Elephas maximus indicus: one gene and its partners. The protein of the gene in region 3 binds, or shares a complex with, the protein of the main gene of each other region. Links are inferred from orthologs where the notes say so. Each region holds a gene or a part of one and is shown on either strand. Other genes may lie near its edges.

What was found. Proteins that work in one complex are often made in the same cells at the same time.
Region 1: the proteins of RPS6KA1 (region 3) and MAGI1 are in contact, whole or in part, in a crystal structure (PDB 5N7F), measured with the Homo sapiens proteins. The link is inferred for Elephas maximus indicus from reciprocal best matches to the Homo sapiens genes RPS6KA1 and MAGI1. Residues at the interface, in NP_002944.2 of Homo sapiens: Pro731, Ser732, Thr733, Thr734, Leu735; in NP_001028229.1 of Homo sapiens: Arg480, Gly481, Phe482, Gly483, Phe484, Thr485, Val486, Val487, Gly488, Asp490, Lys499, Ser500, His532, Val536, Phe539, Gln540.
Region 2: the proteins of RPS6KA1 (region 3) and SYNJ2BP are in contact, whole or in part, in a crystal structure (PDB 7P74), measured with the Homo sapiens proteins. The link is inferred for Elephas maximus indicus from reciprocal best matches to the Homo sapiens genes RPS6KA1 and SYNJ2BP. Residues at the interface, in NP_002944.2 of Homo sapiens: Pro731, Ser732, Thr733, Thr734, Leu735; in NP_060843.2 of Homo sapiens: Arg18, Gly22, Leu23, Gly24, Phe25, Asn26, Ile27, Val28, Gln33, Ser45, Arg46, His78, Val82, Phe85, Arg86.

Annotation. Positions count from the first base shown.
Region 1 is NC_064838.1:71,687,525-71,695,452, forward strand, and holds the start of MAGI1 (membrane-associated guanylate kinase, WW and PDZ domain-containing protein 1), read right to left. Parts: upstream 3,251-7,928; 5' UTR 2,381-3,250; coding exon 2,068-2,380; intron 1-2,067. UniProt on the Homo sapiens protein: Plays a role in coupling actin fibers to cell junctions in endothelial cells, via its interaction with AMOTL2 and CDH5. May regulate acid-induced ASIC3 currents by modulating its expression at the cell surface.
Region 2 is NC_064828.1:83,064,456-83,071,956, reverse strand, and holds the start of SYNJ2BP (synaptojanin-2-binding protein), read left to right. Parts: upstream 1-4,251; 5' UTR 4,252-4,367; coding exon 4,368-4,431; intron 4,432-7,501. UniProt on the Homo sapiens protein: Regulates endocytosis of activin type 2 receptor kinases through the Ral/RALBP1-dependent pathway and may be involved in suppression of activin-induced signal transduction.
Region 3 is NC_064821.1:67,006,906-67,014,540, forward strand, and holds the start of RPS6KA1 (ribosomal protein S6 kinase alpha-1), read left to right. Parts: upstream 1-4,264; 5' UTR 4,265-4,428; coding exon 4,429-4,563; intron 4,564-5,383; coding exon 5,384-5,500; intron 5,501-5,682; coding exon 5,683-5,764; intron 5,765-6,914; coding exon 6,915-6,995; intron 6,996-7,170; coding exon 7,171-7,250; intron 7,251-7,635. UniProt on the Homo sapiens protein: Serine/threonine-protein kinase that acts downstream of ERK (MAPK1/ERK2 and MAPK3/ERK1) signaling and mediates mitogenic and stress-induced activation of the transcription factors CREB1, ETV1/ER81 and NR4A1/NUR77, regulates translation through RPS6 and EIF4B phosphorylation, and mediates cellular proliferation, survival, and differentiation by modulating mTOR signaling and repressing pro-apoptotic function of BAD and DAPK1.

The DNA.
Region 1 (7,928 bases), on a different chromosome or scaffold from region 3:
GATTAACTCCCCAACCCTTCCAAAGCTCCATAATGACGCAGCCCTGGGACAATGCCTCCTGTCTCTTTTGATGGCCAGTGAAGAGAGGAAGCCCAGCTATATGCAGCATCGGGCACACTGAAAACACGTCCCCATGGGCCCATCGGACACCACCAGACACCCCACTAGGTTGGCCTATCCTTTCTCCACCCCTTTCTCCAAAATGCCTGCATCCATTCCCATCAAATGTCCTGACACAGTATTTTCCCTACAACTCTATCAAATCCTGATAATTCAGGTCCCTGACATCAAAAGTTAACCTTACAAAGAAGTAAGTACTCAATTCAATTCAAACATAACAATAACTCACCTTTACTGAACACTCAGTACATGCCAGGCACTGTTTTGTGCACTTCCTGTACTAGTTTACATAACACCCAGAAGAAAGCCATTTTATAGATAAGGGAACACCCTCAGAGGTGGGTCTCAAGCAAAGGCTGGGGAGAAGGGCTAGGAATGAGGCACAGTCTCTCCCTGCAGTAAGCTTACTACCTGGGACAAGAGGAGTAGGACCCAACTTGTAGCTCTAAGTTAAAAACCACAAGGTACACATCAAGGGAGCCCAGAGGAAGAAGGATTTGTTCATCCTGGCAGGAACCTGGAAGGCTTCTTGGAGGAAGTGTCCAAGTGGAGATGAGGACATAAATGGCCAAAGATTTTCATAGCTCAGTGTCCACCCCTCAGCTCCCAAAGCTACCAAAGACTTAGCTATCCCCTGCCCCCTCTTCCCTTTCCTGGAACAAGCCTGTTTCCAAGAGAAGCCCAGCCCAGGCCTTCTTTCCTTTGACACATTCCTCCAGCTGCTGTCCACCGACAGACACATGTGGGACCTCTTTACCATGCTCAACTATGTCACCTCCTTTGGTGTTTTCAGGGAGAGAACTGCATCATGGTGTTTGGTCACACAAGGGATGCCTTTTAGAGACTCCAGTCTTCTCTGCTGGACTGATGTAGGAACAGCCCCTTGCTGTCCCAAACCAAGATGTAAGACACCCCTCTTCCTCCTCCCCCAACCAACTGCATCTTCCATCCTCTAAGAGGTAGACCCCTCCAGGCTTCTCAGGGGAAAATCTAGTCTACTTCCTGACACAAGTTAGCCCCTCCAGTCCCTAAGGGTCATCCCCCAACCCCTACCTCCTACCTCCTCAGTGCTTAAGGCTCTGCAACTCAAACCAGGCTTTTGGTAGGGGTGTGACCTTGGGCAAGTCACTTAACCAATGTCAGTCCCGGTTTCCGTATCTGTTAAATGGGGTTTATAAAAACAACTCTTTCTTAGGATTGTGAACCAGAGTGAAATCATACAAGTAAGGCAGCACCCAGAGCCTAGCACGGAACACAAATCAATGAATGGTAGCTATCGTTATTATAGAGGATGATGATAATAATGACAGCGTAAATTGGGTCTAGATTTGCGCTAAGAGTAATACCCCCTCGCCCCGCCCGGTGCTGGGCCAAACGGTGGAGACACATGCGTCATTCGGCTGTGGGGTGAATGCAGAATCTTCAGGCAGCGGGCTTAGGAACCGCCAGGCGAGGGGTTGTGGGGTGAAGCCGATTTTAGGGTGGAGGGGATCCAGTAAACTGAGGACCCTTCCTTCCTTCATACCCACTTTCCAGGTCTGGAAACAGAAAAATGGCAGAAGAAAGTCAGCAGCTGCGCCCGCAGCACTTCTTCCCCCAAGGAGCTGCTGGAGCGTCCACCTTTGCTCCAGCCTCAGTTCCCCAACTCGCCTCCAGGTGCAGGCGAGGCTGCGCTGCGTTTGGTGGCTGAGATAACAGGCTGGCAACCAGGCCCGCGACACGTCTCCCCGGTTCCCTGTTCAAACCCAGACGCCTCTTCCAAAGCAGGTGGGCAAACAACCTACAGTCTCGCAACAACTTTGTGTATGTCTCTACTGCAGGGCACACAGCCTCAACGTCCCCTCTCGGGTTCGCTGCGAGGAGGAACGCGGGAAATCACGGTTAGGGAGACACCCCACAGGCCGTGCAGTTTTCCAGGGGCGCCCCCAGAGGCGCGCCCGGTCTTACCTTGTCTGACGGCTTTGAAGGTGACGGCCTCCTTGCAGCTGTCGACGACTCCCAACACGTCATAGCGGGGCAAGCCGGACACCCGGATCCCCTGCACCTCCAGCAACAGCTCCCCCTCGCCCAGCCTCGGACCCTCTCCTCCGCCAGGAAGCCCCGCCACCTCGGCCGCGGCCACCGCTCCGACGTACGGAAACTCCCCGTTCTCCGCGCCCCCCAGCACCGTCACCCCCAGCTCGCCCTGGGGCCCCCGCTTCACGGTGCATTCGTGAACCCTGCTGGTCCAGTGATTCTTCTTCTGGATCACTTTCGACATGACGAGGTACACCCCTCCTCCAAAAAATAAAATAAAATGAGAGACAGGTGCCCCCCCAGCGCAAGCCTCCAAGCCGCCGGTGGTTCATAGGAGAGCCACCTCCTCCCAGTAACGCCCCTGGAGAGGAACTTGGCGGCCTCGCTCGCCTGCACACACTCGCGCACTCAGGCCATCGTCAAACAAACTTTCTGGGCTTCCCCACCGAGCCTGCACGGGCGCCCGCGCGCTTTGTTTGCGTTCCGGTGCCTCTCGGTCCACGTCCGGGCGCCCGATCGCGCTCGCTCGGACCAGAGTCCACTCTACGCCGCTCCGGGTTTTTTTTTGGTTTTTTTTTTTTTTCCTTCCTTCCTTTCTTTCTTGCCTTTTAGAAATGCGGAGCCTCCTCCTTGCCTCCCGCCCGGCTCGTCCTTCCTCGCTGGCCGGCTGCTCCCGAGGTGGGGCAAGCCCTGCCAGCCCAGTTGCAGGGAGCCCTGGAGACGCGGCGGCGCAGCGGCGCTGAGGGGGAGGACAGCAGGGAAGTGCCCGCGGCCCCTTTAAGCAGATACAAAGGCTCGGCTTGTTTTGTTACATTTCATTCTATTCCGCGCCGCCGAGCGCAGCGAAGCGGCCGGCGGGAGGAGACGCGCGCGCATGCGCCCCGCGGCCGCCTGCCATCCGGCCCGCCCCGCCTCTCCTTCCCTGAGCGAAAGAGTCCAACGGGCTTCCCGTTGGGTCCTAAAGCCGAGCCTGAGAGCAGCCGACTGCCGCCCTCCTCCCCTTCGCACACCGCTGAGCGTCCTCCTCCTTTTCTTTCCGAGGCGTAGACCCAGCAGCTCCTTTTAGGGTTCAGGTTAAAGGATGGTAATTCGCCTCCTACTTTCCAGAACTTAAAAAATATATAGGAAGAGCGCATGTATTTCACTTAAACTGAAACTTTTGAAACATAAAGAATCTGACTTCGGGATTTTAAAACCGCTTCAAACAGGTGGGGGTTGGGGAGGCTCACACACTCCCCCCCGCGTTCACCCTCACCCCCGCGCTCACACACTCACCCCCGCGTTCACCCTCACCCCCGCGCTCACACACTCACCCCCGCGCTCACCCTCACCCCCGCGTTCACCCTCGCGCTCACGCTCACCCCCGCGCTCACCCTCACCCCCCCCGCGCTCACACACTCACCCTCGTGTTCACACTCACCCCCGCGCTCACCTTCACCCCCCCCGCGCTCACACACACACCCTCGCGCTCACACTCACCCCCGCGCTCACCCTCACCCCCCGCGCTCACACACTCACCCCCGCGCTCACCCTCACCCCCGCGTTCACCCTCGCGCTCACGCTCACCCCCGCGCTCACCCTCACCCCCCCGCGCTCACACACTCACCCTCGCGCTCACACTCACCCCCGCGCTCACCCTCACCCCCCCGCGCTCACACACTCACCCTCGCGCTCACACTCACCCCCGCGCTAACCCTCACCCCCCCCGCGCTCACACACTCACCCCCGCGCTCACCCTCACCCCCGCGTTCACCCTCGCGCTCACACTCACCCCCGCGCTAACCCTCACCCCCCCGCGCTCACACACACACCCTCGCACTCACACTCACCCCCAAGTTCACGCTCACCCTCACCGCCGCGCTCACCCTCATCCCAGCTCCCACCCTCACCCCAGCTCCCACCCTCACCCCCGCGCTCACCCTCACCCCGGCGCTCACCCTCGCGCTCACTCACCCCCGCGCTCACACATTCCCCCCCGGGCTCACACTCACCCCCGCGCTCACACACTCACCCTCGCGCTCACACTCACCCCCGCGCTCACACTCACCCCCGCTTTCACACACCCTCGCGCTCACACTCACCCCCGCTCTCACACTCACCCCCGCGTTCACTTTCACCCTCACCGCCGCGCTCACCCCCGCGTTCACACTCTCCCCCCGCGCTCACACACTCACCCTTGCGCTCACACTCACGCACTCACGCTGGCCCTAAGCCTCCTGCCGCCCTCGCCTGTGGCTGTGGATCACCTAGCCCGCTGTGTCCGCCCCCGACACTCCCAGCCAATTTCCCTCTAAACCCCTGAGACCCCCGGGAGGCGCGCCCTTGCTCCCCGCCGCCGTGTGCCCGCGGTTTCGCGTTCTGGCGGGGGATCTGCCAGGATCCCGGGAGCTACCAATCTGGGATCCCTGTGAGCCTCGCACGCCCCCATACGCCGTTAAACTTTGGAGCCAACGTCATAGGACACAGGGAAAAATACAGGCGAGGGAGAGAAGCCCAGGGGCTGGAGGGGTTCGGACCTCCAACCCTCGTTTAAATGGCATCTAGCTTTTTAACTGTCCTTCCAGAAGAGACTTCTGGAGTCTGTCATTTGCCCTGGACTCAAGGTACTGGCGGAGCCGGGAAGCCTGGGGACCCGCCCCGAGGCCAGGAGATAAGGATCGCCACGGAGTCTGGGGCATAGGCGCGCAGCCGCCACCTCTCAGAATTCGAGGCCCCAGGTCGCTCCACCTCGGGAGCCGCCCAGAGGCGGGGAGAGCGTGTGTCTGTCCGGTGAGGTTACAGAACCAGCTCGGCCGCAGGCAGGAGAAACACAGTCGCCACGAAGGCTGCCCTATCCAAATACTCCCTTGATGGGCCTGGGCGGTTAAGGACTTTCCCAAGCGGTTTCTTTTTCCTTTTAATGATTTATAACTTGATTATTCATCTTTAGTCACAGGAGAGAGTCCAAATGCTAAATAAGGGAGGTGAGTTGAGGGGACTGAGAGAGTGGTATGCCCCAGGGGTCAGGTTGAGAGCTGGGCTCCGGAGTGTTGTTTCCCGTGGTCCACTCTGTGCGACCTTGGGCAAGTTCCGTGGTCTCTCAGAGCCTTCATTTTCTGCCCTGTAAGAAGACTGTAACAGTACCTCACGGGGTCCTTGGGAGCGTTACATGGGAGAATACTTGTAAAGCAAATACTCGTCAAGTGGCATATAATAAAAGTATATTATTAGTAGTATTAATACTCAATTTGGAAAGGGAAAGGAATTCATTTGAGGTTTCAGGTTAAATGATGATAATTCATTTACTTTCTAGAACTTAAAAAATGTGTAAACATATATTTAAATATCTTAAAGCACTTTTTTAGGATTCTATTTTATTATAGGGAGCCCTGGTGGCACAGGGGTTAAGAGATTTGCTGCTGACCAAAAGGTCAAATACACCAGCTGCTCCTTCGAAGCCCTATGGGGCAGTTCTGTTCTGTCCTATAGGGTCGCTATGAGTTGGGATTGACTTGAAGGCAATGGGTTTTATTCTTGCTAGAAGTCCCTGGGCGATGCAAAGGGTAATGCACTAGGCTGCTACCCTTAAGGGTTGGGGGTTTGAGTCCACCCCAAAAGCACCTCAGAAGAAAGGGTTGGAGATCTTTTTTCCGAAAAATCGGTCATTGAAAACCCCATGGAGCATACATAGTTCTACTCTGACACACGTGAAGTTGCCGTGAGTAGGAACTGACTCGACAGCAACTGGTTTGGTTTATCCAAGAAAAGAATGTTGATGCTTCTCTCTTGGAATATCCAGAACTTAAAATCTTATTGCCTCCTTGTGTTTCTGAAAGGAGGTGGCCAATTTCCCGTGGCCCTCCTTGGTGAGGGGCGCGTCCTTCATCTCCAGCCTCTTTTCTCAGAAGGAGGTCCCCAGGTGGCACAAATGATTTGTGCTTGACTGCTAATCCACTAGCCGCTTTCTGGAAACCCTACAGGGCAATTCCAGTCTGTCCTGTAGGGTGGCTGTGAGTCGGAATTGACTTGACGCCAACAGACTTGGTTTTTGGTTTGGTACTAACATAAAGGTTAGTGGTTCGAACTCACCCAGGGGTGCGGTGGAGGAAAGGCCTGGAACCTGCTTGCGTAAAGACTACCGTCAAGAAACCCCAATGAGGCAGTTCCACTCTCTAACACATATGGCCGCCACGAGTCCAAGACGATGGGTTGGTTGGTTGATTGTCTCAGAAACAACTGGTTTGTTCCAAACCTGTGGAACAGAATCTTATGGGGAGCTTCAGTAGGATCCTAAACTCAACCCCAGGTCCAGCCATCCCGAATGTCAGGGAGAGGGTCTCTCATCTGGATTTTTAAGGTGCCCCCAAGTGGTGCTGTTACACAATGTTGAGGACCACGGCTCTAGCACCATAATTCCTAAACAATTTTTTTAGTATAAAGCTGTGTATGGTTCATCTTCCTCTGGAGTGTACGCTCTGGGAGAGCAGGAAATTTGGCGGTTGTGTTTACTGATGTATTCCCAGTTCCTAAAACAGTGCCTCACTCAAGCAGCTTCTGTCTCATGGTTACCCCATTGTATTTCAGAGTAGAACTGTGCTCCACAGGATTTTCATGGCTGTGACCTTTTGGAAGCAGGTCACCAGGCCTTTCTTCTGAGGTGCCTCTAGGTGAGTTCAAACCACCAATCTTTAAGTTAGTACCCGAGCACTTAACTGTTAGCACCATGCAGAGGCTCCTAGAACAGTACTTGGTACCTAGTAAATGCTCATGTATTGGTTGAATGAATATTCCCAGAAAAATGCACATTTTCACCTCCCATGTTAGAGGGGAATCCCAGATTACCTTACAAATTACTAGTAAGCTTGATCCTGCGGGTTCCGCCCACCCCCTCCCCCACTCCATAGTCCAGTAAAGACTGATTGCTAGCTAGGAATTCCTCCACCTCCCTAGAATCAGCACCTCTGGACTCCCGCCCCTGCATGGGTAGTCTAGGGGCTGTGCAGGGCCATCTGGACTCCCGCCCCTGCATGGGTAGTCTAGGGGCTGTGCAGGGCCATCTGGACTCCCGCCCCTGCATGGGTAGTCTAGGGGCTGTGCAGGGCCAGGTGCTTCTGGACTCCTCCCACTGTGGTGCTGCCATCTTCCTTCTCCAGGATTCCAGGTGTCCCTGCACCTAAGAGGGAAATGGATGTGGCCTTTAGCACACTTCAGGATTTAAATGTGGAGTAACCCCAGGAGAAGAAGTACATTGGAGTACAGAGTGCAGGATGGAGAAAGGAATAGGGAGACAGGAAATAATTCAAGCCTCCGAAGCAGCCAAAGCTGCCGGTTTTGAAGCATTAGTTATATGTTTGCAAACTCTCTTGCCCTTTTCTCACTTCTGCTGTTTTTTCTGTTTCAGCTGATCTGGTTCCTACGTCCCAGACCGGAAACCCCTTCAGAGCAGAAATCGTATCTGCCCTACCCAACTTATGAATCCTCAGAACCTAAAACAACCCTTGATGGAGACTGTGCTCCATACGCACTTACTGAATAATTGAATGAATGGATGAAATTTGATGTTAAACTGTTTAACTTGTGGCCTTTGACGCAAAGCCAATTTTTATATTTAGTGGCTAGAACCGAGGTATTTGTAGGTTATTTTCTTGGAAGAGTTTGAAGTGAATTTTTCTTGAATAGGTATAAGGTGGGACCCTGGTGTCCAGGTATCTCTCATTTATGCCATGACTTTGGCAGTACATTCCGATGGGGAGAATAATACCGTGAAGTTCATAACTTTGACGTTTACCTGTGTACCAGGATCATTATGGGTA
Region 2 (7,501 bases), on a different chromosome or scaffold from region 3:
ATAGCAATACTAGATGACTAAGACGACATACTAAGGAGATACCACTGTTACTGAACCCAGGAAGGTGGGTCCAGTGCTCTCAGGCTTGCCAATAATCTGGACACCAGTCTCTGAGAAAGAAAAAGTGACTTTATAGCAATGCACAGAGCAAGGAGCCAAGAGGAAGTTCCTCAGATTTGACTCCCCAAGCTATGGGGAAACGGGGCTTTTATGTGATGTGGGCAGCAAGATGGTGGACGCACAGGTGTACTGGAGAGGGAAATTCTAAAAGGTAGCCAGGAAATAGGAGGTGATATGGTTATTCATTCCACCTGTTGCTGCATCCTCCACCGAGGTCAATTATCCATCACCGCTGGCTCTTCTGCACGTGCGGGGCAGGCCAAATTTGGCTCGGGCTAGTTTAAGGATAGGCATTCACAAGGTCGGGTTACACCACTTCACACCTACCAGACTAGCAAAAATTAGAAAGACCAATAACCCAATTATTAGTGAGGATGTGAGCAGTGGGAACTCTCAGATAGTGAGTATGTAAATAGGTACGATCATCTTGGAAAGCGTTTGGTATTATACGCTAGTGTCTGAACTTGTCTAAATCCATGAGTGATAACCAGGATCAGCACAAAGGAGATTCCTATGAGGTAGAGGTCAGACATACCTCTACTCTCCAATTTTTTCACCATTTCTTACGCCAGCCATTCTCCCCACAGCACTCATAGACTCATAGTGGCCCTAAAGGGCAGAGTATAACTGCCCCATATGGTTTCCAAGGAGTGCCTGGTGGATTTGAACTGCTGACCTTTTTGGTTAGCCGCCGTAGTTCTTAACCACTATGCCACCAGGTTTTCCACCCTTACTCCCAGGCAAGGCTTATTTCTTCCTACTTTGGTCTGTTCTGCATTTTTGCTTTTTGCCTTTATTACTGTAGGTATCATACCATGTGTGTCCCAGTTATCTAATGCTGCTATAACAGAAATACCACAAGTGGATTGCTTTAACAAAGAGAAATTTATTTTCTCACAGTTTATGAGGCTTGAAGTCCAAATCTAGGTACTGGCTCTAGGGAAAGGCTTTCTGTCAGCTCTGGAGGAAGGTCCTTGTCTCTTCAGCTTCTGTTTCCTGGTTCCTTGGTGATCTTCATATGGCTTGGCATCTATCTTCCCCCATCTTTGCTTGCTTACTCTGCTTCTTTTACACTTTGTAAAAGAGTGAGTCAAGATACGCCATACACTAATCCTGCCTTATTAACATAACAAAGACAACCCATTCCCAAATGTCATAATAACCACAGGCATAAAAACCAAACCCACTGCCTTTGCATGGATTCTAACTCATACAGACCCTATGGGACTGCCCATAGGGTTTTCAAGGAGTGGATACCAAAAAAATTAAACCCGTTGCCGTTGAGTCGATTCCAACTCATAGTGGCCCTACAGGACAGAGTAGAACTGCCCCATGGGGTTTCCAAGGAGTGCCTGGTGGATTCCAACGGCCAACCTTTTGGTTAGCAGCCGTAGCACTTAACACTACGCCACCAGCATTTCCAAGGAGCGGGTGGTAGCCCAGAATATATGATCTTGTATTTCACCTCCATCTCCATCCAGCTGTTTGAACAAGTAACATGTTGTTGTTGGTTGCCTTGCTGAATCAGTTCCAACTCATAGTGATCAGATCTTCTAGAATCACCTCCTGTGTTCTTTTCACCATTCCATATTAATTTCAGTGTTGGCAAACAAGGGGCCTTCTGGCTACATCTGCCCCTTGTCTTGTTTTGTTCGTTTAACACAGTAGCTTTAGTTGAGCTTGTTTTTCAATCTGAATTTGAATGCCTTTATATTGGACGTCCACTTTCCAATCCTCCAGGGTTCCTACCAATTCCTGTTGTCTAATTCCAGGTTAGGCGCCCTGGTGGTGCAGTGGTTAATTGCTTGGCTGCTACCCAAAGGTCACTGGTTGGAACCAACCATAGGATCCACAGTAGAAAAGACCTATTTCCTCCTGTAAAGATCACAGCCTAGAACACCCCATGGGGCAGTCCTACTGTGTCATAGAGGGCCGCTAGGAGTAGGAATTGACCCGGCACACAACAGCAACAATTCCAGGTTGTTTCACAGTTTAAAGTCACCTTCCTGGCCCTTAAGGCTTTTGAGTTTTGACCCCTCTCCATTAAGCACACTTTGGAATGTCCTATCCCCCAAATCAGGAGGGCTGGGCTGAAGTTACAGCTAGGTCATCTACCAGTCACACTGTAATGGTAAACTTAAAAAAAAGATGTAATTTTCCAAGTTGCCGAAAGGGAAAGACAACTTTCCCCTCTCTCTTTCTTAAGGACAACTCTTTGAAATGTAAACATCGAGGAATGTAATGCCCTACCTCCCCTCAGGTGGGAATTAGCCTAGGTGCCCTATCCCAAACTGTAAGTACCGCTTGCCATACAGATATTGTTAGGTGTTCTTGAGTCTGTTCGGACTCATAGTGACCCTATGTACAAGAGAACAAAACATTGCCTGGTTGTGAGCCCTCCTCATGATCGTTGTTATGCTCGAGCCCATTGTTGCAGCCACTGTGTCAACCACTTAGTCGAAGGTCTTCTTCCTCTTTTCCACTGACCCTCTACTTTACCAAGCATGATGTCTTTCTCTCGGGACTGATCCCTCCTGATAACATGTCCAAAGCATGTGAGATGATGCCTCACCATCCTCACTTCTAAGGAGCATTCTGTCTGTACTTCTTCCCAAACAGATTTGTTCTGTTGGAAGCCCAAGGTATATTTGATATTCTCCACCAACATCATAATTAAAAGGCGTCAATTCTTCTTCAGTCTTCCTTGTTCATTGTCCAGCTTTCGCATGCATATGAGGTGACTGAAAACAATCACCCTGTTTTCAGGCACACTTCAGTCTTTGAGGTGACATCTTTGTTTTTTAACACTTTAATGATGTTTTTTGCAGTAGATTTGTCCAATGCAATGAGTTGTCTGATTTCACTGCTGCTTCCATGGGTGTTGATTGTGGATCCAGGTAAAATGAAGTCTTTGACAACTTCAATCTTTTCTCCATTTATTATGATGTTGCTTATTGCTCCAGTTGTAAGAATTTTTGTTTTCCTTATGTTGAGGTGTAATCCATATTGAAGACTGTGGTCTTCGATCTTCATCAGTAAGTGCTTCAAGTCCTCTTCACTTTCAGCAAGGAAGATTGTGTCATCTGCATAACGCAGGTTGTTAATGAGTCTTCCTCCAATCCTGAGACCCCATCTTCTTCATATAGTCCAGATTCTTGGATTATTTGCTCAGAATAAAGAATGACTAAATATGAGGAAAGGATATAACCCTGACACACACCTTTCCTTACTTTAAACTACGCAGTATCCTCTTGTTCTGTTCGAACAACTGCCTCTTGATCTATGCACAGGTTCCTCATGAGCACAATTAAGTGTTCTGGAATTCCCATTCTTTGCAATGTTATCCATAATTTGTTATGATCCACACAGTCGAATGCCTTTGCAGGGTCGATAAAACACAGGTAAACATCTTTCTGGTATTCTCCGTTTTCTGCCAGGATCCATCTGAAATCAGCAATGATATCCCTGGTTCCATGACCTCTTCTGATGTGGCTTGAATTTCTGGCAGATCCCTGTTGATGAACTGCTGTAACCGCTTTTGAATGATCTTCAGCAAAACTTCACTTGTGTATGATATTGTTTTATTGTCATACAGATAGAGAAGTTTTATTTTTCCTTTGGATAAGGACAATTAACTAACACAAACGGCCACTCCAAGTGTGAACTACTAAAGAATGTATAACAACTGGTGCTGTCAGGTCCTCTTACATGAGAACACGCATGTAATGGATGGTATCTGCTTGGCTATGAAAAAGGGTGAGATTTCTTTCTGTCTTTGCAATCTCAATAGCAGGGCCTGTGATGCCCATTGCAGGCTGATTTAATGTTTACTGAACAATAAAGTTCTTTTTTTCCCCCTACATTTGAGGAGAGGACTTCCGGGGTATGCAGGAGATTTTATTTTTAATTTTTCCTCAACAATATCAATTTACTAATGCCTCCTACCTTTTTTTTTTTCCTACCTTTATTTAGTCTGCCTCCCCCACGCTTTCAACCAGTTAATTAGGATCGTAATGTGCTCTCCCCTCACCCCACATTTTGCTGCAAGGACCAGGTGAGAAAACGGAACATGTCGGCTGCGGGAACCACGACTCCCAGCATTCCTAGCGCTCCTAGCTCTCGCGGTATCCGCTTCCGATCTGGAGGCTGCTGAAACCGAAAGTGCTGGGCTAAGGAATTGAGATTGATTCACCTTCATCTGAGTAGTTTTAGCCCACCCAGGTGGGAAGCCTGGAGAGCACTAAAACATGAACGGAAGAGTGGATTATTTGGTCACTGAGGAAGAGATCAATCTTACCAGAGGACCCTCAGGTATGTGCTAAACGGCTCCTCCCTGGTAGTAGGGGACATGAAGGTGTGATTGCAGAGCAGACAGTTCTGTCAAGCCAGATTCACTTAGCCTCGGAGCAGGCAGGCCCCAACCTTGACTTTTCCTGCAACTCTTGCAGGCACGTAGGAGGAACGTATTGACACCCGTTGTTGGCCAGACACGGGACTGAGACATCCAGCTCATCTGTCAGAGGCATTATCATACCTATTTATAGTCAGGAAAAGTTTCTTTCTGCTAATAGTGGCAGAAAAACAGAGAAAAAAAGCACACCCCGTTTTTAGCCGACATACCGTGGACACCACGCCCCTTTCCAATCCAGCATCTACCCCTGTTTCTATGACCGACCGTTTAGTAAAACGGGGGAGCGTGATCGGTATGGACTTCGAATGCGTAGTCATTTTCCTGGTGTTAGGCTCCTTCCTTATTTTCTTTTCTGTGTAATTCATTTTGGGTGTTAACGAGTATGTTAAACAGGAAGAGACTCTAGAGATCTTCTATTACAGCATGTCCCAAATCTGATTCCGCTCAGAATTACCCGGAGTTTTTTGTTTTTGCCGTTTCGTTTTTTTTTTTTTTTAAAGTAAAAATGGTAACTCCTATGCCCAAGTTCTAGCGATTTGGATTCATTGCAGACTTTTTTTTTTTTTTTTTTTTTAAAAAGCCTCACATGATTCTGCTGCAGCCAGATCCTCCCTTAACTAAAATAAATGAATTTGTTGACTGACGTCTTCTTGATTTTTCCCAAGCATTTTCATGTCTTTGTCATGTAAGTTAATGAACTTAAGAGCCTAGGACAATAGAGCCACAAACCTAGGATTGAACTTAGATAAAGAAGAGTCATTTGAAGTTTACTTAGGTTTTTTTTTTTTTTTTTTTAGTTTGGTTCAGTTAATTAGGAAGGGTTTCAAGTTCCTGTTTATCACTTCCCAGCACTGGTTACTTGGCATATGGGTACTCCTAAGAAGCCTAAGAGTCTAATTCAGTTTTTCTTCACTGTGTCATCGTGAAGATATGCAAGTGAGAAATCAGTTAGCACTTCTAGAAACTCCCAGGTAATTTTGGTAGTCGCACAGTGATCTTTCTTTCTATAGAAGAAATATGAAAAGCTTCTACTTCCAAATAGGCATTTCTGTTTGTAGGCAGCATTGTCACTCTTTGTACAGCTTCCTACGCAGGGACCTGATGGTTTAATCAGGTAACTGCAAGAGCGTGTATACCTTTGCCCTTTTGTTCCTGTGTTCGGTTAGGGGCAAGAGTTTGGGGTAGTTGCAGGATTTGGGTTCATATTTTGGGGGCATAAGAACCTATTCTGTTTGCCTCAAAGGAAATAATGAAATCTTGGGAAAATAATGACATTGAAGAGAGTGTCTGGGAGGCAAAAAGGAGCTTCGCATGTAGCTTGGCATCTCTCCTATGCCTGCTTCCTAAACTATGAAAGGAGAGACTTGGGCTAGATGACTTCTGAGGTCTCTTCTACCTCCAAGAGTTCGTAATTCTTTGGCCCATTCCACGTGCTGTTTTACGATACCTATCATTTTGGGCTAACTGTGGTTGATCTGAAGAATCCTGAAAGGCAACGGTTGTAATCTCAAATACATTCAGGGGTTGAACAGTTTACCTATTACCTTTTTTAGAACACTGTCTTATCTCCAGCTTGTTTATAGCCTCTGAGGTCCTTGGTCAAGGACTTACCAAAGGTTTAAAGCTAGTAAGTTTCAAGAGCCAGGATTTTTGTGTGTGTGTGTGTGTTTTAGATGAAAGTTTACAGCACAAATTAGTTTTTCATTCAAAAATTTTATGCACAAATTGTTTTGTGACTTTAGTTGCAGTCCCTGCAGTGTGTCAGCACTCTCCCTCTTTCCCTTTCCACACTGGGGTCTCAGAGTCCATTCATCCAGTTTTCTTGTCCCGTCCTGCCTTCTTGTCTTTGCTTTTGGGCAGGTGCTGCCATTTGGTCTTATATACTTGATTGAGCTAGGAAGCACCTTCCTCACATTTGTTATTGTTTGTTTTATAGGCCTGTCTAATCTTTGGCTGAAAGGTGGACTTCGGGAGTCGCTTCAGTTCTGAGTTAGCAGGGTGTCCAGGGGCCGTAGTCTGAGGGGTTCTTCCAGTCACCGTCAGACCAGTAAGTCTGGTCTTTTTTGTGAATTTGAATTTTGTTCTACATTTTTTCATCCTCTGCCTGGGACCCTCTATAGTGATCCCTGTCAGAGTGATCGGTGGTGGTCTAGTTCTTCTAGGCTTAGTCTGATGGAGACTGTGGTTCATGTGGTCAGTTAGTCCTTTGTACCAATATTTTCCTTGTGTATTTGGCTTTCTTCATTTTTTTTTTTTTGCTCCGGATGGAATGGGACCAATAGATGTATCTTAGATGGCTGCTTGCAAGCTTTCAGGACCCTAGATGCTACTCACCAAACTACAATGTAGAACATTTTATTTATGACCTATGTTATACCGGTTGACCTAGATGTCCCCCAAGACCATGGTCCCCAGTCCTCAGCCTCAGTAACTCAGTCCCTTAAGGTTTTTGGATGTGTCTGTGAAACTTCTATGACTTGACCTCGGTCAAGTTGTGCTGACTTCGCCTATATTGTACGTTGTCTTTCCCTTCACCAAAGTTAACACTTGTCTACTATCTAGTTAGTGATATCTCCTCCCTACCCTTCCCTCCCTGGTAACCATCAAAGATTGTTTCCATGGGTAAACCTTTTCTTGAGTTTTTATAATACAATACTTGTCATTTTGTGACTGACTTATTTCACTCAGCATAATGCCCTCCAGATTCATCCATGTTGTGAGCTGCTTCACAGGTTCATCACTGTTCTTTATGGTTGCATAGTATTTCATTATGTGTATGTACCATAATTTGTTTATCCATTCATCTGTTGATAGCCACTTAGGTTGTTTCTATCTTTTCGCTATTGTGAATAATACTGCAATGAACATGAGTGTGCGTATGTTTATTCACGTGACAAAGAGCCAGGATTTTAACCCAAGTCTTTTGATTCTACTGTAGCATAAACTGTCTGCCAGTATAGTAGCTGTGCC
Region 3 (7,635 bases):
CTCTGGGTACCCACAGCACCCTGATTACATTTCTGTCACAGGACATTTGTGTTTTAGTATCAAGTCAGAATCGACTCGACGGCACTGGGTTTGGGTTTTTTTTTTTTTATTATTCATTTTTGGAGAGTCCCTGGGTGATGCAAACAGTTAACATGCTTGGCTGCTAACTGAAGAGTTGATGGTTCAGGTCTACCCAGAGGCACCTCAGAAGACATTCCTGGTGATCTACTTCCAAAAAATCAGCCACTGAAAATCCTGTGAGGCGTAGTTCTACTCTGACACACATGGGTCGCCATGAGTCAGAACCGACTCCACAGCAGCTGGCATTTATTTTCAGGAGCTCTCTGAGGACAAGGCTAGGGTCTACCTTAACATTTCTGCCTCCTGGTGTCCACCTCTGGCCTGGGACAGAGTAGGGGCCAGCAGTGTGAGTGATGTGCAGAGAGGGGCCAGGCTGGCCTTGCTGGGAGGGTGACAACGAAATTCTTAAGTGGGGGCTTTGGAAGCAGACAGACTTTGAATTTGCTCTTCGCACTATCCTTTTCTAGCGGTGTGAACTTGGGCAAGTCACTGTCTCTGAGTCTAGTGTCCTTATCTTTGAAATGGAGATGACAGATACCTCCCCGGGAGCTGAGACCCAGGATCTCAGCTCCAGTGCTAGGGCCTCGCAGAACCCACATCATCAAAGATTGCAGGAAAGAATGGCTGCATGCGAGAAGCGCTTAAGTGATAGAAAGTACAGTTCCCCTCGTTACTATAAGCCAGTCCTGGCCTAGGGCCTGAGGCCACCTCCCCACTCAAGGAGGCCTGGGACTAGGGACTCCTCCTCACCTGCCCAGAAGTATGCTGGGAGATGTATCTGGGGACATCTGTCCCACCAGAGGGGCCCATGTCTAGGAGGCCATGTAGATGCTGCCAGCTAGGGAAGGGGCTGTTGGTGTCCATTAGAGCCAGGGGCAGGCAGGTGGGCTTGAGCTGCAGCTGGTGGAGGGAGGCCCAGGGTGGGGGCCTTGGTGGCCAGGGATCAGGCTAGGGGGCTCTGGGCTTCTCTCCCAGCTGCTGTGTGGGAGGAAGTAAATAAAGAGGAAGTGTCTATGAGGGGAGAAAGGGTCCGGGACCAAGGGGATGTGGGCTGGTGCCTGTCCTCCCCCTCCCATCACCAGAGGCCGCACAGCCCCTCCAAACATCCTTCTGTGAAGGCAGTTCTGAAACTGTTTCCTTCCTGTTGCCCGTTCCTGTAGTGTGCTGGCCATAGAAGTTCTTCCTCTGCTTCTAGGGGGCGGGCTGGGGGAGAGGCCAAGCTGGCACTGGCCCCTCCTCTGTTGCTGGACCGACCAGACGTTCTAAGGCTCTCAGGGCTGCCCTGGCCCCCAAGTCCTGGCCTGAGGACTCTGGGTGGCAATGAGAGGCCTCAGTTAAGGGGAACATCTTTCACAACCCCCGCCAGGACGCCACCTGTCAGAGAATGTTGTTATTGGAGGCCCTGCGAGAGCCGGGAAGGGGAAGTCTGTGTGTACGTGGGGGTGTGGATTTCCACATAGGGGATGTCTGTGGAAATGGTTTCCAGCCGTCAGCCTGAGTGTGTGTCTGTGCGCGCTCGTGTCAGTTCCTGTGGGTGTACTGGTATGAGTGAGGAGGTGGAGCCACGTGGTAAGGGCAGGGCCTGGTCCACCCCTATCCCACAGCCACCTGTTCCTCCACCTAGACCTCTGTGTTGAGTTGTCCAGTGGGCAGCCAGGGTCCTTGTCTAGGGGCTTCTGCCCCATTGTCCATCCCAGGGTCTTAGACTGGCAGGCTTCTTCAGGAAGGGCTTGGAGAATGGGGCCTCTGAGCAGGGGCAGGGCTGAGTATGGTGCTTGCTCTGTGGGCTGATGTTTCGGGTGAGCCTAGCCATGAAGGTTGCTATGGGGGAGGGAGTGTCCTCGGGAGTTGGACCAACTAAGTGCTGAGCTATGTAGTTCAAGGCTGTGGCCTTGCTGATTTCTGTTCCCATTCTCTCAGACCCCTCTTGGGGGTGCTGGGATGTCTACTGTGTCCCGGCGTTATCTCTATGTGACTTCTGTGATCCTGTCTCCCCCTTCGGGGAGACAAGTGAGGTGCATCCCCGAGTCATCCTTGGGGCTTCGGGTTTAGGGTCTGCACTATCCCCACCTTGGCAGGGAGCCTGACCCGTCTTCTGTCCCTCCTCCCAGCAGAGGGGGAAGTGAGAAGGAGGGAGGCCATGGACCCTGCCTTCTGGGCTGGTAAGGCTAAAAAAGCAGAAGTAAGGGGAGTAACGGGGCCCTCTGGCCACCAGCTTGAGCCCCACCATGCAGACCCCGGCAGACTTCCCCAGGTTTGAGGGAGACTCAGTTCCCTGTCCCAGAAAGGTGAGCAGAGAGGTGGCCTGCCTCCAACAGTGTCTGTCACGACAACTCTGGGCGAGGACTGGGTTTGGGGGTGGCTATGTCCCCTGGGGTTTCTGGGTGGCTGCCTCTGCCCCCAGAGAGTGTTCTCAGTCAGAGGCAGACAGATGAGGTGGAAGCTCAGATCTTAGAGTGGGGTTAGCAGGCATTGCTGTTTTCTTGGCCCACCCCCGCCTCTCTCTGAGCCAGGCTTTCTGCCTGTCCCTCCAGGGGTTTATACTCAGGGGCCCGATTAGCCTGCAGCTTTCAGTGGCTGCTACACCCACTCCCCCATCTGTCAGGGAGAGTCCTCTGAAGATGGGGCTGTGTCTCTGAGGGTCAGGACCTAGAGTGGGAAGTCCCCAGGCTGATCCTAATGGTGAGGGTGGGGGCAGGCTGGGGTGGGCAGGAAGTGGCTCTGGCTGACTTACCTGCCCACCCTTTCCTGGCACTAAAGGCCAGGCAGAAACCAGGGGAGGGACTTGGGTTCAAGCCGACTCTGCCGCTTGGCTCGTTTTGAGTCTGGGTGAGTCACTGTCCTTCTCTGGGCCTCAGTTTCTTGTTCTCAAAATGGAGATAATGGTTTTTGGGATATTTTGGGTCAGAGTCAAAGTCATCAGATGACATCAGGAGATGGTCTCTCAGCCCACTGTCTTAGTCCTGGGCCTCCTCAGGCTCTGGCGTAGGAAGAAAATCTGAGGGAAACGGAAAACCTCATTGTTGGGTCTGCCATGAATACTGGGCTACTCTCCTGAGTCGTGGGGGTTTGCTGTTATATCTCCTTACCCTTCCTCCTCCCTAGACAAACCAACGAGAACCCAGAATTCTACCCTCCAGCCCCTCAGAAAGGTCTGACCCCCTTTCCTAGGGATCCCTGCCTTGCTGCCTGTCTGTTCGCTGTCACATTCATCTGCTCTGGGCGCCTGACAGTCTACTTGGGCCTAACTGACTCTGACTGTCTCTGTCTGCTACCTGTCTGCCTCAACTATTGAGTTCCTGTGTCTGTCTTTACCTATCAGATACATGTTCCCATTTGTCTCTTCCTGTTGGGCTCGTGTCACCTTCTGTCTCTGCCTGTTGGATACAGGAACTCCTCTTTCTCAGCCTCTTGGGTATGTGTCCCAGCTGTCTTTGCCTGTTGGGTACGTGTCTACATCTGTCTTGCCTGTTAGATACAAGTTCCCATCGGCCTCTGCCTCTTGGGTGAAAGTCCCTGTCTGTCTCCATCTGTTGGGTACAAGTCCCCATCTGCCCCTCTGCCTGTTGGGTGTGTGTCGCTATCCATTTCCCAGTTGGGTACGAGTCCTCATCTGCCTCTGCCTGTTGGTTATGAGTCCCCATCCAGCTCCACTTCTTGGGTTCATGTTCCTGTCTGTCTCCACCTGTGGGATATGTGTCCCCATCTGCCTCTGTCTATTGGATATTTCCCCATCTGCCTCTGCATGTGCCCCTTTCTGTCTGTGCCTTTTGGGTACGTGTCCCTGTCTGTGTCCACCTGTTGGGTATGTGTTTCCTCCTGCCTCCTCCTGCTGAGTATGAGTCTCCTTCTGTCTCTGCCTGTTGAGTACATGTCCTAGTCCATCTCTGCCTGTTGAATGCCTGTCTTTATCTCTCTCCACCTCTTGGGTGCGTGCCCCTGTCTCTTGGGTATCTCCCTTTATCTGCCTCCACGTGCCTCTGCTGTAGAGTTCCTGTCTCTGTCTCTCCTGATGAGTGCATATCTTCACCTCTGCCTGATGGGTGCCTATCTACTCCTCAGCAGATGGGTTGGCCTGGGCCTTTCGCTTTACAGGCCCAACAGGGAGGGTGGGAGGAGGGCCAGAGGGCAGCCCTCAAGCATTGGGGAGGGGAGAAGAGAGAGAGGAAGGGAACAGGGTGAGGGTATAGGCCTGGAGCTGGGAAACCACAGGCCCTGAATGATTGGCGGTCCTGGGCCAGGCCCAGCCCCCGCCCTCACCCTGCACATCCGCCTTGAGCCTGGCCACCTCCGCGGCAGCCCCGACTCTGCCTGCTCCTGCCATGGTGCCACGGCCCTGCCGGGCGAATGGAGCAGGATCCCAAGTCGCCCCGTCTGCGGCTTTGGGCCCTGCTCCCCTGGCTGCCCAGGAAGCAGCGGCCCAGGATCAGCCAGACCTCGCTGCCTGCCTCAGGCCCTGGCTCTGGCCCCCGGCGGGACTCGGTGAGTATGTCCAGATGTCTGGCCCTGCCCAGCTATGGCCCTGGGAGCAGGTGCCTAGGCAGCCAGTTTGGCCTAAGCTGGCTTTGGACTGTCCTAGCCCAGGCCTGGCTGTGTTGGATGGCTGAACCCTGCCCAGAGTTGCTTCCTGGGAAAGTGAAGAGGCGCTTCAGGGCTCTAGGGCAATGGTAGTAGGTTGGAGGAAGGGAAGAGGGGTCCTAGAATAGCCAGGACCTGGCAAGGGGCTTCTCATAGGCTTGTATGAGGGAAGTTTGGGAGGGAGGGCATTGAGTCTGGCGTTAACTCCCAACCGCCCCATGTTGGCACTTACTGGGTTGGTGGTAGAGTCCCAGATGACGCTTAGGTCTCTGTGTACTTCAGCCCTGTCCTACCTGCCAGAGGGATCCCCCCGTTTCCCATCCTGATCAGGAACAAAGGCTCAACTCCACCTCCCCACTATGAGAACAAACCCTACTTCCTATTGTGGTAAAACCAAAAACCTTTGCAGCAGGGGGAGGGGAGCCCCACAGGGAGGGCCTGGGGCAGGCCTACTACGGGCCTCAGCCAGAGCCTGGGGTTGGGGGATTCCCTCCTGCCCATGCCTGGGCATCCCAGGCCAGAGCAGCAAGAAAACAGGAACACCTTGGTGGTTTGACCCTCTCTGACCTTTGAGGCCCTTTTTGGTTCGGTGAACTGGAGGCTGACTGTATTAGGGTGGCTGTCTGGTCAGGCCTGTGCGGCCCTGTCTGGTGAAATCTGCTGGGAATGGACTTGGATTTGGGGGACGGTGCCTCCATGCTCACCGACTCTGTCTCCCCACCAGGATGAGGGCATCCTCAAGGAGATCTCCATCACACACCATGTCAAGGCTGGCTCTGAGAAGGCTGACCCATCCCATTTCGAGCTCCTCAAGGTTCTGGGCCAGGGATCCTTTGGCAAAGTAAGTTCTGAGCCCACAGCTGGGAGGGCAGCACTGGCCATGTCAGAGGTGGGAGGTGAGGGGTCACCTCAGAGCCCAGAGTGAGAAGAGTAACTTCTGGGGTCACTGGGGTGAGGGGTCACCTTTGTGCTCAAGGGATCAGGGGCAAGGGTTGATGGGCTTTTCTCCCACTGCCTTCCCAGGTCTTCCTGGTAAGGAAGGTCACCCGACCTGATAGCGGACATCTATATGCTATGAAGGTACTGAAGAAGGCAACACTGAAAGGTGAGTGGGGAGCACCTCCCCATGCGAGCCCAGGCTGGGCACAGGGTTGATGGAGACAGCCTAGTCCTCAGGGCCTTTGGTCTGATGGGAGAGGTAGCCCTATTCTCAGGAGCACCTAGTCTGAGGGAGGAGAAACCGGCCTACTCTCAGCTGCCTGCCATCCCACCCCACCTGATGGGGAAGACAGGGTCCACTTAGAAGAAAAGACTTCAAGCCGTTAACCCTCCACCTGATCCCCACCATCACTAATGAAGCCACATGCCAATGGCTAAGGCTGAAGGTGGTTGTCTAGAAGAAGGTAGTGGGGCAAATGCAATGTGTTTGTGGTGTGGTGGGGGCCCTCTAATATGGTTAGGCAGAGGTGTTCTAACTGTCAGTAAAATTTGGGGAGACCTCTCTGGACTCATTGGAGGAGAAGGGCATGAGAGAAGAGGCAGGAACCCAGGGAGCCAGGTGGGCCAAGAGAAGGTGAGGTTGAGGCAGGGCCATGGAGATGGATGGCACAGGGGTTCAGAGGGAGCATGAGCCAAAGTCTAGCATTTTGAGGACTTACAAGGGGTGTGCGGGTGGTTGGTGGAGGGCTTTGGGCTGGACATTGACTCTTTGATTGGTTCGGGAACCAGTGTGGCTGCTGACCAAGTGAAGTGGGGGCAATAGGAGGCCTTAGAGATGTTATGGATCATGTGGCCCATGAAGGGCTGTCTGGAGTGTTGGTAGCTTTGGTGCCTCTGGGCCAACCTGAGGTAGGGATGGGAGTCATTCCCCAGGAGGGATGGTGGGAGCCACAGGGAAGGAGAAAGATGAAGACATTTGGTCCCTGCCCGGGAAGGCCTCCTAGGCTGGGCAGGAGAAGCTAAAAGACCGTCAGACTGGAGAGATGGGCAGGGGGCCAAGGGCCCATCCCTGGACCTTGCATAAGGGGCAGGGACAGGAAGCAAACCAAGGAGCCAGACACAGAATAAGAGCAAAGGAAGAAACCTGAAGATTGAGTGTGCCCACAAGCCCTGGGGAGGAAGCTCCGGGAGCTCAGACCTGGAAGAACAAGTAGAAAAGAGGGTCCTTCTTAGCCAGGGTTTGGAGAGTGGCTGGCTATGTGGGTGGCTGGACTACTGGGAGGGCTCTAGCGTGACGGCCTTTCTCCTCTGGCCAGTCCGTGACCGGGTCCGGACCAAGATGGAGAGAGACATCCTGGCTGACGTCAACCACCCATTTGTGGTGAAGCTGCACTACGGTGAGACCACAGACCTACCTGCCCTGCTCACCAGCCTTCACCCTTGCCTCTGGGGTGCTGCCTTCCCTGTACCTTATGGCACCTCCCACCAAGCAGGCCAAGAGAGCGGGAGGAGGCAGGGGAGTAGGTTCCAGAGCCTAGCTGGCTCTACCATTGCATCTTCCCCTCTCCCCAGCCTTCCAGACCGAGGGCAAGCTCTATCTCATTCTGGACTTCCTGCGTGGCGGAGACCTCTTCACACGGCTCTCTAAGGAGGTGAGCCAGCACCCCCCTACCAGAGGACCCTAGAATGGAGCTGTGGAGAGAACCAGGCCTCCCATCCCAGGGCAAGCAACGTGGCCAGGATCTGGGACCACGCAGGCCTGCCTAGCAGTCCCTCAACCTGGAAATATCACCCACCCTGGGACAGAGCTCTGGTAAAGCTTCTGAGAGTTCCCCCAAGGTGGGCTGTAGAGGTCAGGCCCTGGATTCTGATGCTAACCTGACTCCAGGGAGTTAGGGGTGGCTCTCATCTCTCTACCTCTGTTTTCCCAGGGCTGCCCTGGGCAGGGCCGTGAGGATGAGGGAGAAGCTCAGATGCACCCAGAAGGCTAGAAACTTTGTTTTTGTCCCGCTTGTTAACTAAAAGGATTTTGAACTA